2 linked regions of the Caenorhabditis elegans genome follow. The gene in region 2 interacts genetically with the main gene of each other region. Each region holds a gene or a part of one and is shown on either strand. Other genes may lie near its edges.

The links.
Region 1: of zfp-1 (region 2) and mom-5, changing one enhances a phenotype caused by changing the other (phenotypic enhancement), as found in Caenorhabditis elegans (one large-scale study listed by BioGRID).

What each region holds. Positions count from the first base shown.
Region 1 is NC_003279.8:9,963,612-9,970,626, reverse strand, and holds mom-5 (Protein mom-5), read right to left. Parts: upstream 5,048-7,015; 5' UTR 4,987-5,047; coding exon 4,514-4,986; intron 4,021-4,513; coding exon 3,650-4,020; intron 3,586-3,649; coding exon 3,447-3,585; intron 2,907-3,446; coding exon 2,665-2,906; intron 2,553-2,664; coding exon 2,432-2,552; intron 2,085-2,431; coding exon 1,866-2,084; intron 1,441-1,865; coding exon 1,293-1,440; 3' UTR 590-1,292; downstream 1-589. Other genes in the region: tsp-7 (Tetraspanin), read left to right, coding at 134-278, 381-514. UniProt on the Caenorhabditis elegans protein: Receptor for Wnt proteins.
Region 2 is NC_003281.10:8,796,628-8,801,481, forward strand, and holds the start of zfp-1 (Zinc finger protein zfp-1), read left to right. Parts: upstream 1-1,770; 5' UTR 1,771-1,837; intron 1,838-1,905; 5' UTR 1,906-1,927; coding exon 1,928-2,036; intron 2,037-2,231; coding exon 2,232-2,487; intron 2,488-2,767; coding exon 2,768-2,858; intron 2,859-2,905; exon of another isoform or gene 2,906-2,907; coding exon 2,908-3,018; intron 3,019-3,858; coding exon of another isoform or gene 3,859-4,074; intron 4,075-4,854. Other genes in the region: F54F2.6 (uncharacterized protein), read right to left, coding at 3,859-4,074. UniProt on the Caenorhabditis elegans protein: Recruits the histone methyltransferase dot-1.1 to chromatin to methylate 'Lys-79' of histone H3 and activate transcription. Recognizes and binds histone H3 methylated at 'Lys-4' (H3K4me) at the promoters of target genes.

The sequences.
Region 1 (7,015 bases), on a different chromosome or scaffold from region 2:
AATTTTGATTCGAAAACTTATTTACTTTTTACCTGTATTTTTCATGAAGTTTTTCTTTAATTTAGCAAAACTTCCAAAAAAAAAATTAAAGTAGAACTACAGCATTTAAAATTCAAATTAATTTCAATTTTAGTTGTTTGAATGTTGTGGAGTAACAAATTCATCCGATTGGCTCACATTCACAACAATTCCTGATTCATGTTGCATTGAAGAAATCGAGGGATGTGCTCGAGAGAATGCTCCACTCTTTGAGCCCGGATGCATTCACAGTGTCGAACGTTAGTCTTTTTTTTCCAAGAAGATCAAAGTGTGCTCTGTTGCACTTTCTCAATAGAGCATGATTGGGCTTATCGGAAATTTGATTGTTTTTTTAATTGCAGAATGGGTGCTCAAGAATGGAGCAATGGTCGGCGGAATTTGTGCAGTTTTGGCAGCAATTCAATTGGTCGGAGTCTGTTTCGCTTGTTGTCTTTCAAAATCAATTCTCAAGGATTTCCATGACTTTTATTATTAGTTCATAACCATCCGTTTTTCTTTGCAATCCTTATTTTAGGTTCTTTCAATCGCCGTGTCACAAATTAAACAATAATAATAATGTATAATTTATATATGAATATACGATGAAAAAGAAATTGAGGATGAAGAAAAATAAGCAACCGCATAAATAATGAGTAATAAATTCATAACTCTAAATTCGAGACAAAGACTGGGATGAAAGTGGTTTTACCCTGATTGGAGTGCTCAAAGTGTGAAAAAAAGTGTGTGAACCTTGTGCTGGAGCTGGTGACAACAGAACTTAAGAACATGAATAAACGAGATACATGAAAAATGGCAGCGAGAGAACTGATCTACAGTAACCTGAATTGAAGGGGGTTCTTTTTTGACTTTTCTCAAGCTTCTTTCTGCCCTTTTTGTCAGATTTCAATGTAATTCCACTCAAAAATATCATTTTTCACCATCTTTTCCACTCGTTGTCTCTCTTTTGCTATGTAAGAGCGCATCTTTGGGAGCCGGTTCTTAGAAATGTGCTCGTCGCAACTCAAATCAGGAAGCATTGAGAGACAACGAGTAGACGAGGAGAGTGTAGACACAGAGATGGATCATGCTCTGGGGAATGATTCTGTGAGAGGAAGGGGACCGATGGGCGCCGTCCGATGAGCAAGAGAGAGCATAAGAATAAGTCAGAAAAGTTACAAAGAATGAAGAAAAAGAAACATTTGAGTTGGTTGGGAAAAAAGTGAGAAAAGGAATGAGAATACATATAAATAGGATAAAATGACAAGAAGAGACTATCACCTCATATTAACCTGATCAACATGAGCAGGTACAGTAGGTGACCTCGAAGAGAGTGCCAGGTAAGCCTTGTGATAACTTGAAAGAGTTTTTGAAGAGACAACCCAAATGGCACAGGTTATACCAACAACCAATTGAGACACATATCTGAAAATAAGAACATTTAGGGGTTTCGAATCAAGATAAATAATTCATATTAACTAGACGCGAAATTATGCAGTCTCGGCACGATCCAATTTTGTCGAATATGCGCCTTTAAAGAGTACTGTAACTTCGAAGTCGCGTTGCTGCGGAATTTACATCGATTTTTCATGAATAGTTTTTCTTATGTTAGGCTTTTTGTGTTTGAATTGCTTAATATTTAAATAAGAATATTTTTTATCAAGAAGCGATGAAAATTCTGCAGCAACAAGAGTTTGAAACTACAGTATTCTTTAAAGGCGTATACATTTTTGCATTTAACAAACATTCGTCTTGTCGAAACCGGATGTCGCATTTTTGGCGCAAAAATCAGAAAATCAAATTTAGATTATACAGATTGAAATTTAACTGATTCACAGTTTCAAACTAACTTTAAAAGAAAAACAATAATCTCCGGAGCTGCAACTTTCGGATCCATCGGACAATCATCAACTGGATACGTGAAACCGAATAATTCTCGATCTTGAAGTCGAACACATCGATGATGAAGCCATCCTTCAAGCCAGGCAGGCATATTTACTGCCTGATACCACATAATTGCAGCATTCATTGCAGTTGGTAGAGAGTACATTATGGCGAAGGCACCGATTCTGAAAATATAATATTTGTATGATAATATGAAACGAATATCAGAAAAGCGATTCTTAAGTTTTTCTTATTTTGTTCGGTTCTTAGGAAATCCAATTTTTTCGTTTTTTTTTTCTGAAATTTTGGAATTTTAAATAAAAAATGATTTCCAGGGAATTCTCGGGTTTTAGAATAATTTATCAACTTTCCAAACTGAAATCAATATATCTACATCAGTAAACCTAGTTTGCTCGTCTTTTTCTGTACATGTTTTTCCAATTTTTCGTTTTCCAAAAATCGAAAGTATTTCTTTTCTGATTAAAAAAGCTCAGGTACTTTTGAAGATTTTCAAAAATTTGAAATATCGAACCTCAACATTAATTTCTCCAATTTACTGATATTCCTCTCAACATCGGCGTGTTGAAGTTTAATATAACTTCGAATACGGATCATTGACCAAATTCCACAAACGAGTAAAACTGCTCCGAGTGCTGCAAATAGAACATTTCTGAGAAGAAAACGAAGATAAATAACGATGGAACACACAACGAAACGAATTCAATTTCGGTCTTCCCCCACCATAATATTCACAAAAAAACTAACCCAACGATACAACGATCGGAGTGAAAAAGAAATAGACGAGAGCAGAGGGATTCAAATTTCCAACTGAACAGATTCCAGTAAATACATCTCCATCGACAGAATTTGTCACTAGTACAGTAACCGAGAGAACTGCTGGAACTCCCCAGCACATTGCGTGGAAGTATGGTGACAGAGCAGCAATTGATTCAGCTCCCCATTTCAGATTTGCCGCCAGGAACCAGGCTAGACACAGTACAAGCCACCTGAAAGAATACTTAGTATATAAAATATCATTTTAAAAAGGCTGATAGCTGTTTAAATCAAGATTAAAAATTTGGGTGTCGATTTTCGATTTTTCAATGAAAACAAAAATTTTCGATTTTTGTTTTTTTTTTGTTTGAAGAAAAAATACATTTTTTTCATGAACAAAATTTGATAAAAATTGAATTTTTTTTTTGATTTTCCGATTTTCCGGAAACGGGGTTTTTTTCATTTAAAATTTGGTTTAAAAAAAATATTTTTTAGATTTTTGTTACTGAAAATTGTCGAAAATCATAAATGTAATTTTTTTCTGAAAAATTACACTCGAAATTATAAAAATTAAAATTTTTATCAAAATATTCAAAAAGTTCTTTAAAAAAAAAATGTTTCAGTTGTCGTTTTTTTGTTGAAAAATGTGTTTGAACAAAAGAAAAACATGCCGATTTTTTTTCGAATGCACATTTTCAAAACCAGTTTTCTATTTGTGGTACAAAAAACGGTACTTTTTTCGTTAAAATACAAAAATTAACGAAAAAACTCACCACGCACAACTTGACATGAAGAAAAAGTAATGAACAACAGCAAGAGCACTACATCCAACATTTTCTCCTCCTTGCGTAACAAGTGTTGTTGGAGTAGATCCATACGTTCCACAAGCGAATCCATCTTCACCGACTACGCCTGTAGAAATACATTTTTAGTTTCTAAAAAATCTGATTTAAAAAAAACAGAAAATTCAACTCACCTATCATATAAACCGTAGAAATTGCTAGATAACAGAACGCGAGATACAAAATCGGTCGAACTGGATACGCGAATCGTGATAAATCAACAAGAAATGTGACAAGAGTGAATAAAGAGCACACGAAACATGCCACAGACCATGCTGCTGTCCAGATTCGAAGAATTCGTCGAACACGTCCATCAAACATCATTGGTACTTGATTGTCAGCTTCACATGTTAATGAACATTCAGGAAGGCGTCCACTGAGAAGAGGCAATGAAAAATGAGATCCGCTTGTTGTATGCATATGATGAGGGCATTTTTTTGGAGAAAGGACAACTTCGTTGGCAATTGTTGAAACACCGAATGTGACGTCATTACTACTTCTGTAACTTGAAATATTTTATATTTCGATCTACGGAAACTTGTTTTATTGTTCGATAAAACAAAGAATTTAGAAATCTCGATGTACATTTTTTTCGGAAAATTTCTAAATTCAAAAACTTTGATAAAAAACTATTTGACGCTTTGGAGTAGGAGTTTTTATGGGGCTCAAAAATTCGGAATAATACTTAAATTCAGCCAAACTTGTCAGTATCACAGCGGCCGTAAATTTAATTTTCAGAGAGCTTTTTTTTTTTGAAAACTCTTACGAGGTTCGGTCTTTGCAGGCCATTCTGAATTTATTATTATTTTTCTTTAAATGCAAAACCGATGATTTTAACTGAATTTACAATTTAATTTCTCGCTGTATTTAAAAAAAGGATTCTAGAACGGTTCCCGTAAATTTAAACTTTAATTCATGTTTTGGGTACTTTTGAAATTTTTGTTGTAAATATATATCAATTATAAATTCTTATTCATAAAATTATGCAGAAAACCCACTTTTTAGAGTTGCTCGACTCGCTGGAATTCTTGCCAACACACAAATCAGTTACTGGGAATTTGTTACAATCCAATTGATCTGGCCATTGAAATCCAAACTTTTTCATTAATGACTCGCATCCATTTTTTGCAGATAAACACAATTCTCGACATGGTTGAATTGGTTTTTCGAGTACTGTACAGACAGGTGCATAGACAGTACAAAGAAAGAGACGAATATCTTCTGAGCATTTAACTTTAATTAATGGATTGAATTGCGCAATTGCTGGACCAGCTTCAGATTGTGTTGTATGTCCGAGAAGATTTGGAAATACTGTTTGATTGTAATCCAGATTTTTGCACATTGGAATTGTAATATGTTCACATTTTCGAGTTGTTGAGAATCCATTCATCGATGAAATTGAAGTTGATGAGAGTCGTTGATCAGCTGATAAGCATCCGAATAAAAATAATATCAGAATATGTCGATGCATTGTAATTGATAGTTTTGAAGAGATTTCAGATTGACAAGTGTTAGTTCATAGCAGGATTCGTCTGAAAATATAAAAAATTATTAAAGAAATAGTTTTTTTGGTTATATGTATAGAAGAAGTTCAACATTATTTAGTTAATAGTTTGTGAAATGGAGAGAACAAAATTCTAGAAAAATGATTTTTGGCAAAATTTGGAAAAAAAACCGAACTTAAGTAAATAGCTAAAATCTTTTTCAGAAAAAATCGAAAAAAAATGTTTAGAAAATTAACAAAAAGTGAAATTTTTAATGAGTTGTTGATGTGGATAAACATTTTCAAAAAATTCTTCTAAACGGAGGAAAATGGCCAACAATTTTAGATATTTTACGAAAAATCTTTTTTTTTCTCGAAATATCAGAAAACCAACACAAATACTTTCCGGCAGTTGGCAAAGATGACACATTAAAAATTTTGGCTAAATTTAGGGATTTCTCTTCGAAACATTTTCTATAAACATTTTTTGGAAGGTTTTATTGGAATTCAAAATAGAAGACTCGGTCCATAAATTGACCTTCAATTGATGAGAAAACATTGAATTTTCAAAAAAAGTGAAATGGTGTAATGTTGACATTGGTTCCAAGTGCTAAATCGAATCAATGAATCGTGAAATTATAGTGAGAAACGTGGCAAAGAAAGACAAAGAATAGTAGATTTCGGTATCTAAGTGAATCTAATCTTTAGATTACTGTACAACATGCCTCTAATCTCTTTTTTGTAATACTCTCTCGTTACGCAACTTCCGAGAGAACGGAGCACACACACACAGTAAAGAATAATTACGGCTCGGAATTCGAGAGTAATTAATGATGATGATGAGCACTGACCTAATGAAAAGATCGAAAAAGAGTGAAGAGACACAGGCCACCTGCTGCTCGAGTGTCAAATGGGCAATGAACATGCAAACGGATGAGGGAGGAAGGATTCAAGAATTTTCAAACAGTGATTCATTTCGAAAATATTCTTGTTATTGTTTGGAGAGAATTGAGGAAAATATAGATGAGAATCGAATTGAGAAAAACGGGGACGATCGATCTGTAGAAGAGATAAGAGCAATGACCTAACTGGTAGAATTTTTTGGCATTTCGGAAATTAGTTTTTAGTTTTTAAATATTTAAGTTGAAGAAAGCAAAGAAAACATTTAAAACAAATTGTCTGAAATCAACGATATTCTTAAGCAAAAGGACGCAAAATATTGCACCAAAAATACGGTACCAGGTCTCGACACGATAAAGTTTTGTTTGCGCCTTCAAGGAGTACTGTAACTCGCATTGCTGCGGATTGTTTTGATTTTATATAGGTAAATTCATGGATTTTCATTGTTTTAATCAAGTTATTTAATAAATCAATATTTTCTATCGGAAAACTATAAAAAATCGATGGAAATTCCGCAGCAAAGTTTAAAGTTACAGTACTCTGTCAAGGCGCACAGCTTTCTACATTTATCAAAAATTTGGCGCGTCGAGAGGTACCGTATTTTTTGCTAAAAATCGCAGAATCGAGCCTGAAAATTATATAAATAATTTAATTGTTTTCGAAATTCAAAAAAAGATGCCAGAAATTTAATATCGACGAACTCGAGGAGCACATAAACATATTATTTGAACTTTTGAATAAACTTTTCCAACATCCGAACTGGGAGGCCGAGTTTCGCAATGTGAAGAGCCAACATACACGTCTCGTGCCGGAGATGGGTGTCAAATTCAATTCCCGAATCAAATCAAATGAACAAATAGGCCCGTCGTTTCGATGAAAAAGAACTGACGAGAGCAACACAACTGGGAGCTTGTGACCAGAAGAAAATGGAGCAAACGAGTGATTTGTGATTGATAACGGAAATGAAAAATGGACGCGGAATTGGAAATAGTGGAAAAGAAGAAGAGGTTCAGACAAGATGGTGATAAGAAGGGGGAATGCGAAAATGTTCGCGATGGGAGCAATTTGGATGATTTCTCGTTTCAATATCAGGTAGTTTTTGATGGTTGTAAAAAAA
Region 2 (4,854 bases):
CCAGTGAAGTTCTATTAATAAATTCTCTTGCTTCTTAAATTTTTTTTTTTAATTTTAAAAACTTTTTGTTAAAGATGTTAATTTTCTGTAGAAATTTTTATTTCACACAATAACCATTAGTTAAATTAAATTTATAACTGTTCCCCAAGTGGTTTTAAAAAATCAATAAAATGATTTCTTGACTATCGTAATCCTTCGTGACCCCTCTGTAGAGATTTTCTTGTGTTATGCAAGTACCCCATCGTAAATTTTCTTTTCTCGATACCCGAAGTATATCCGATCACATCTGTGTCTATGATGATACTGATTACTTTTCCATTTATATTTATCACCTTGACCGTTAATTTTCAATATTTAATTTTTCAATGACAATACAATGTTAATTTTTATAAGGTTATGTGGTAGAAAATGTTAGGCGAGGTTTAGAGAAAAATATAAAAGTTTATTAACTTTATTTCGCCCTTGGACGATTTTTTAAGCATCCAAATGACTCTTTTCATTTAAATTTTTATATTTTCCGATCCGTATATTATTTTCTTTTCAACTAATTTTATTAAAACATACGGCTATATGAAATAAAGCACTGGAACGCAGAAAGTTAGAGAGAAAAGGAGCAAAGCTTCCCCTTCTTGTTTGTATGTATGTGCTCCTTGTGTGCATGTGACATAGAAGAGCCGACGTCGCTGCGCCCCTGTGAGAATTCATGCATGCTTGGCACGATGCCAAGTTGTATGTGTCTATCTTCACCTCCTTTTTCTTCTTCTTCTCGATTGCTTCTCCCTCTCTTCCAAACGAGAACGTGATGTCGGTCTCTCCTACTGTAGGCTACTAGTTGTCTGTGTCTAATACTCTCTCATTGTCAAAGACTTCAAATCGGGAAGATTGTGATGGTGGTTTGGTGACGAGAGAGAGATAGAGAGAGAGAGAGAAAGACACTGACGATGTCGTCGTTATCAGTGTATTTCTTCTTCTTCCTTTTCTTCCATACACAATCTGTAATTCTCTGTCGTTCTCTCAATTTGATTATCACTATTAAATGTATATTCATTCATTCACGCCCATAACTTTTTTGACTTGACTGAATCGAAAATCGAATCGATGGCCGCTCCCCGATAATAAGAAGGAGAGAGAAAAGAGAGACGCTGCAAAAATTTTTTGTCTTTGAATGACCTCTATTCGTCGTATTGATTGACTGCTGCCGTTTGTCTTTTGTGACGAAATTTTGTACAGTTCCATTTTCTTTTATTTCAAAAATTGAGAGAAAAATATCTAATGCTCGGCGTTAAATTTTCAATGAAAAATTTGTTCACTCAAATTGGCCCGAAAAGTCCGAAATTCATAACGAAACTTTTCAATAATTCCTCAAACTTTTTTATAGCAGTTTTACCTAAAATTCTAAATTTTGAAGAATTAGCCTTTATGCAAAATTTTGAATGGCCATAAAAGATTTTTCAATGAATTTCTGAAGAGTTTCGTAATTTGATATTTGATATTTTCAAATGGATTTTTAGTGTATTTTATAAAGCAAAACATTCTTCAATTTATTTTGTTTTCCGAATCTAATATTTAAATATCTCTATGAAACTTTAATACTATTTTTGATACGCATTCAATTATAGATAATTGTTAAACGTTCTTTTTTCTCCGAAATTAGGTTATTTCTATTTGTTCTGTTTCTTTATTTGTCGCTCGGCCATAATAAATCAATAATTTACGGCAATATACCTCTAATCTCCCCTTTTCTGCGTAATTTTTACCGAATTTTTACAGCACATCACCATACAAATGAGCCACGCCTGACCTCTTGACCAGCTACAGTAACCCAAAAAAAATTATCGTAAGTTTTTTCGAATTTTTGTGGAAAATTTGTGAATTGTATTCTCAAATGGATAATTATTTTTACAGAGTCCCCCGAAATTGCTGAAAAATGAAGGAGATGGTAGGTGGATGCTGCGTTTGTGCAGATGAGAATGGTTGGACAGACAATCCATTGATCTATTGTGATGGAGAGAATTGTGAAGTTGCAGTACATCAGGGTGAGTAGAAGTTCACAGAAATTGAAAAATTTTAGTATTTTTCCCGATATTTCGAAAAAAAATCCAACGTTTCCAAGCATTGTTTGAAGTTTTGCTTTTTTCCATCTTATTAGATGAATTTGATTTTTTTTTTTCGATTTTCTCTCAAAAAACCAAATTTTCCGATTAGGCCCCACCGAATTTTTATCATTTCAGGATGTTATGGAATTCAAGAAGTACCCGAAGGCGAATGGTTTTGTGCAAAATGTACGAAAGCATCAGCTATGATGCCCGGCAGTATAAATGAGGCAACATTTTGTTGTCAATTGTGTCCGTTTGACTATGGAGCATTGAAAAAAACTGATCGAAACGGATGGGCTCATGTAATTTGTGCACTTTACATTCCAGAAGTGCGATTTGGGAACGTACATAGTATGGAACCAGTCATATTAAATGATGTACCAACTGATAAGTAAGTTTTTCTCAAGAATATGGGTAATTCAATATGAAAAATGTGTCTGATCAAGGGTGAATATTTTTTGAGTTTTCGACTTTCGATTTTTTGACTCTCTGGAAAATCTCAAATTTTAAAAATTTCCGGTACATTTCTGAACCGAAATTTTTTTTCCAGTTTTTCGATTTTTCGACTTTCAAAAAAAAAACAACAACAAAAAATCTAAACATTTTAAACTCTTTCTTTGAAAAAATCTTGAAGTTTTATTACTATCTCGATCAATTTATATATTTTATAGATTCAATAAACTGTGCTACATCTGCAATGAAGAACGTCCAAATGATGCGAAAAAAGGTGCATGTATGTCGTGTAACAAGTCGACGTGCAAGGTATTTTTATTTTTCTTTAAATTTCTTGTAATTTAAACGAAATTTTCAGAGGAGCTTTCACGTAACCTGTGCTCAGCGGAAAGGACTTTTATGTGAAGAAGGGGCAATAAGTCGGAATGTCAAGTATTGTGGTTATTGTGAAAATCATTTGAAGAAAGCGGTATGTTTATTGAAGATTTATGCGCTAAAAATTGAGAAAAAAGTATTAAAATCGATTTCTTAATATTTTAAGAAAATCAGGCCAGATTATCACTTGGTTTTTCATAGAAGTGAAAATAAAAATAGAACTACAGTACCCATCAATTTCAAATATTTAATCCCTAGTCATACTGGTGCTGTGAAGGTCCGATGCTTGATAGACCAGGTGGATAGACACCTGTCTCTTGAAAAACTAGAGATTGTACGGAGTATTAGAGATTCAGAGAAGTAAAAATATGAATACAATCGTGTGTGCCCGCTTCTTCTCTGCATCTCTTCTCAGGATACTCTATTTCTGAGTCACAGCATTGGGACCCTGGAATAGCAACACAGCCATTGCGCTTCACTCTTAGAGTGAAAGAGATAGAGATGGAGAAAGAGACGTCCTCCGTCCTGTTTTCATATCTGCGTCTAAAATCTCTTTATCCTGAGAAAAAGAAACCGAAAGAGAGGTTGAGAGAGAGAGGGAGACATTGTCGAAGGAGGTCCGCGTGCTTCCACATACACATACACACACCATCCATTCAACACAACACACTTGAGAAGATGGAATAGACGAGAGAAGAGAGTACAGACGTTTAGACGAAATGAAATGGGTTGGGCCAACGGCTGGCTGGATGGATGGCTGACTGAGTGTGACAACGACAAATAGTGCTCGGGGGGGGGGGGGGCACTGAGAGAGATAGACGAAGAACTCGGAGAGACATAGACACAAAAAGGAACAAATTGCTGTCGGGCCAAGCGAGTTTGGAAGAGAAAGAGACGTGCATAGAGTGTCTCTCTCTCTCTCAATTTCATAAGCTTAGATGATTCTCTGCGTCTGCTCTTCGCCGCCCCTTCTGGACTTCTTTTTCTCGGGTGGCCCCCGGCGGCCGTTGTTTCGTCTGCGCTTCTTATTTTCCTCTTTATCGTCATCGTCGTATTCCTCGCTTTGTCCTGCTTTTTCGTTTTCTCCGTCCGTACGCACACATACATACACACGCACATAGTGAGGCAACATCATTCTCTTGTGCTTCATTTGGTTCTTCTTCGACGAATACTCGATAGATTTGAATATAGTCGTCGCCACGTCATACTCTACATTTTCCTGCTACATCATCCTTGCATCTCCCCACTTTCTCACTTGTTACGGTTTTTGCTTAACTCTCTACGTCTCTACTCACTCTCTCACCTACTTTCCTCTTCTCGTTGTGTTTGATGTCACCTTTCTCATCGTCTTCCGTCAATGGAGTTTTTTTGTCGCCAAAGAGAGACATTCACTCATTTTCTCTTCCGTCTCCCTGAAGTAGTTCTATGTTCTTTTTTTTTTTTTTCTAGACTTTGTCATTTAACATTTTTGTTTTACATTTTGGTACATTCACAGAATTATTTCTAAATCTAAATTAAACTTTTGATCTTGAAAGTAGGCCTATCATATAGGCCTCACCGCCTGCCTGCCTCACCTTAAGACGATCTTCGCCTGTTTCCAACTAAGTTGAATGTCTTGATTGTTCTCGGGGGTTGTCAAATTTTTGATGTTATTCTAATTCACCTAATTTAAATTAAACGGTAACAAATATCATAAAACCCTTTAGTTTTTTTTGAAAAAGTCTAATAATCTTTATTAGTTCTTTTTACTAATGAGGACGCTGCAAATTTTTGTTTTTTTTTTCAAAATTCAGCACAAACTTTTCCAAAACACTGAGCAATGTTTTGTTCCGTCTCTTTTCAATATCTAAGTCTCCCTTTAGCTGGTCTCTACACTTCTCCGAATATCTTCAACTTCTAAGTCTATCAATCATGGGATCCTTCATTGTTG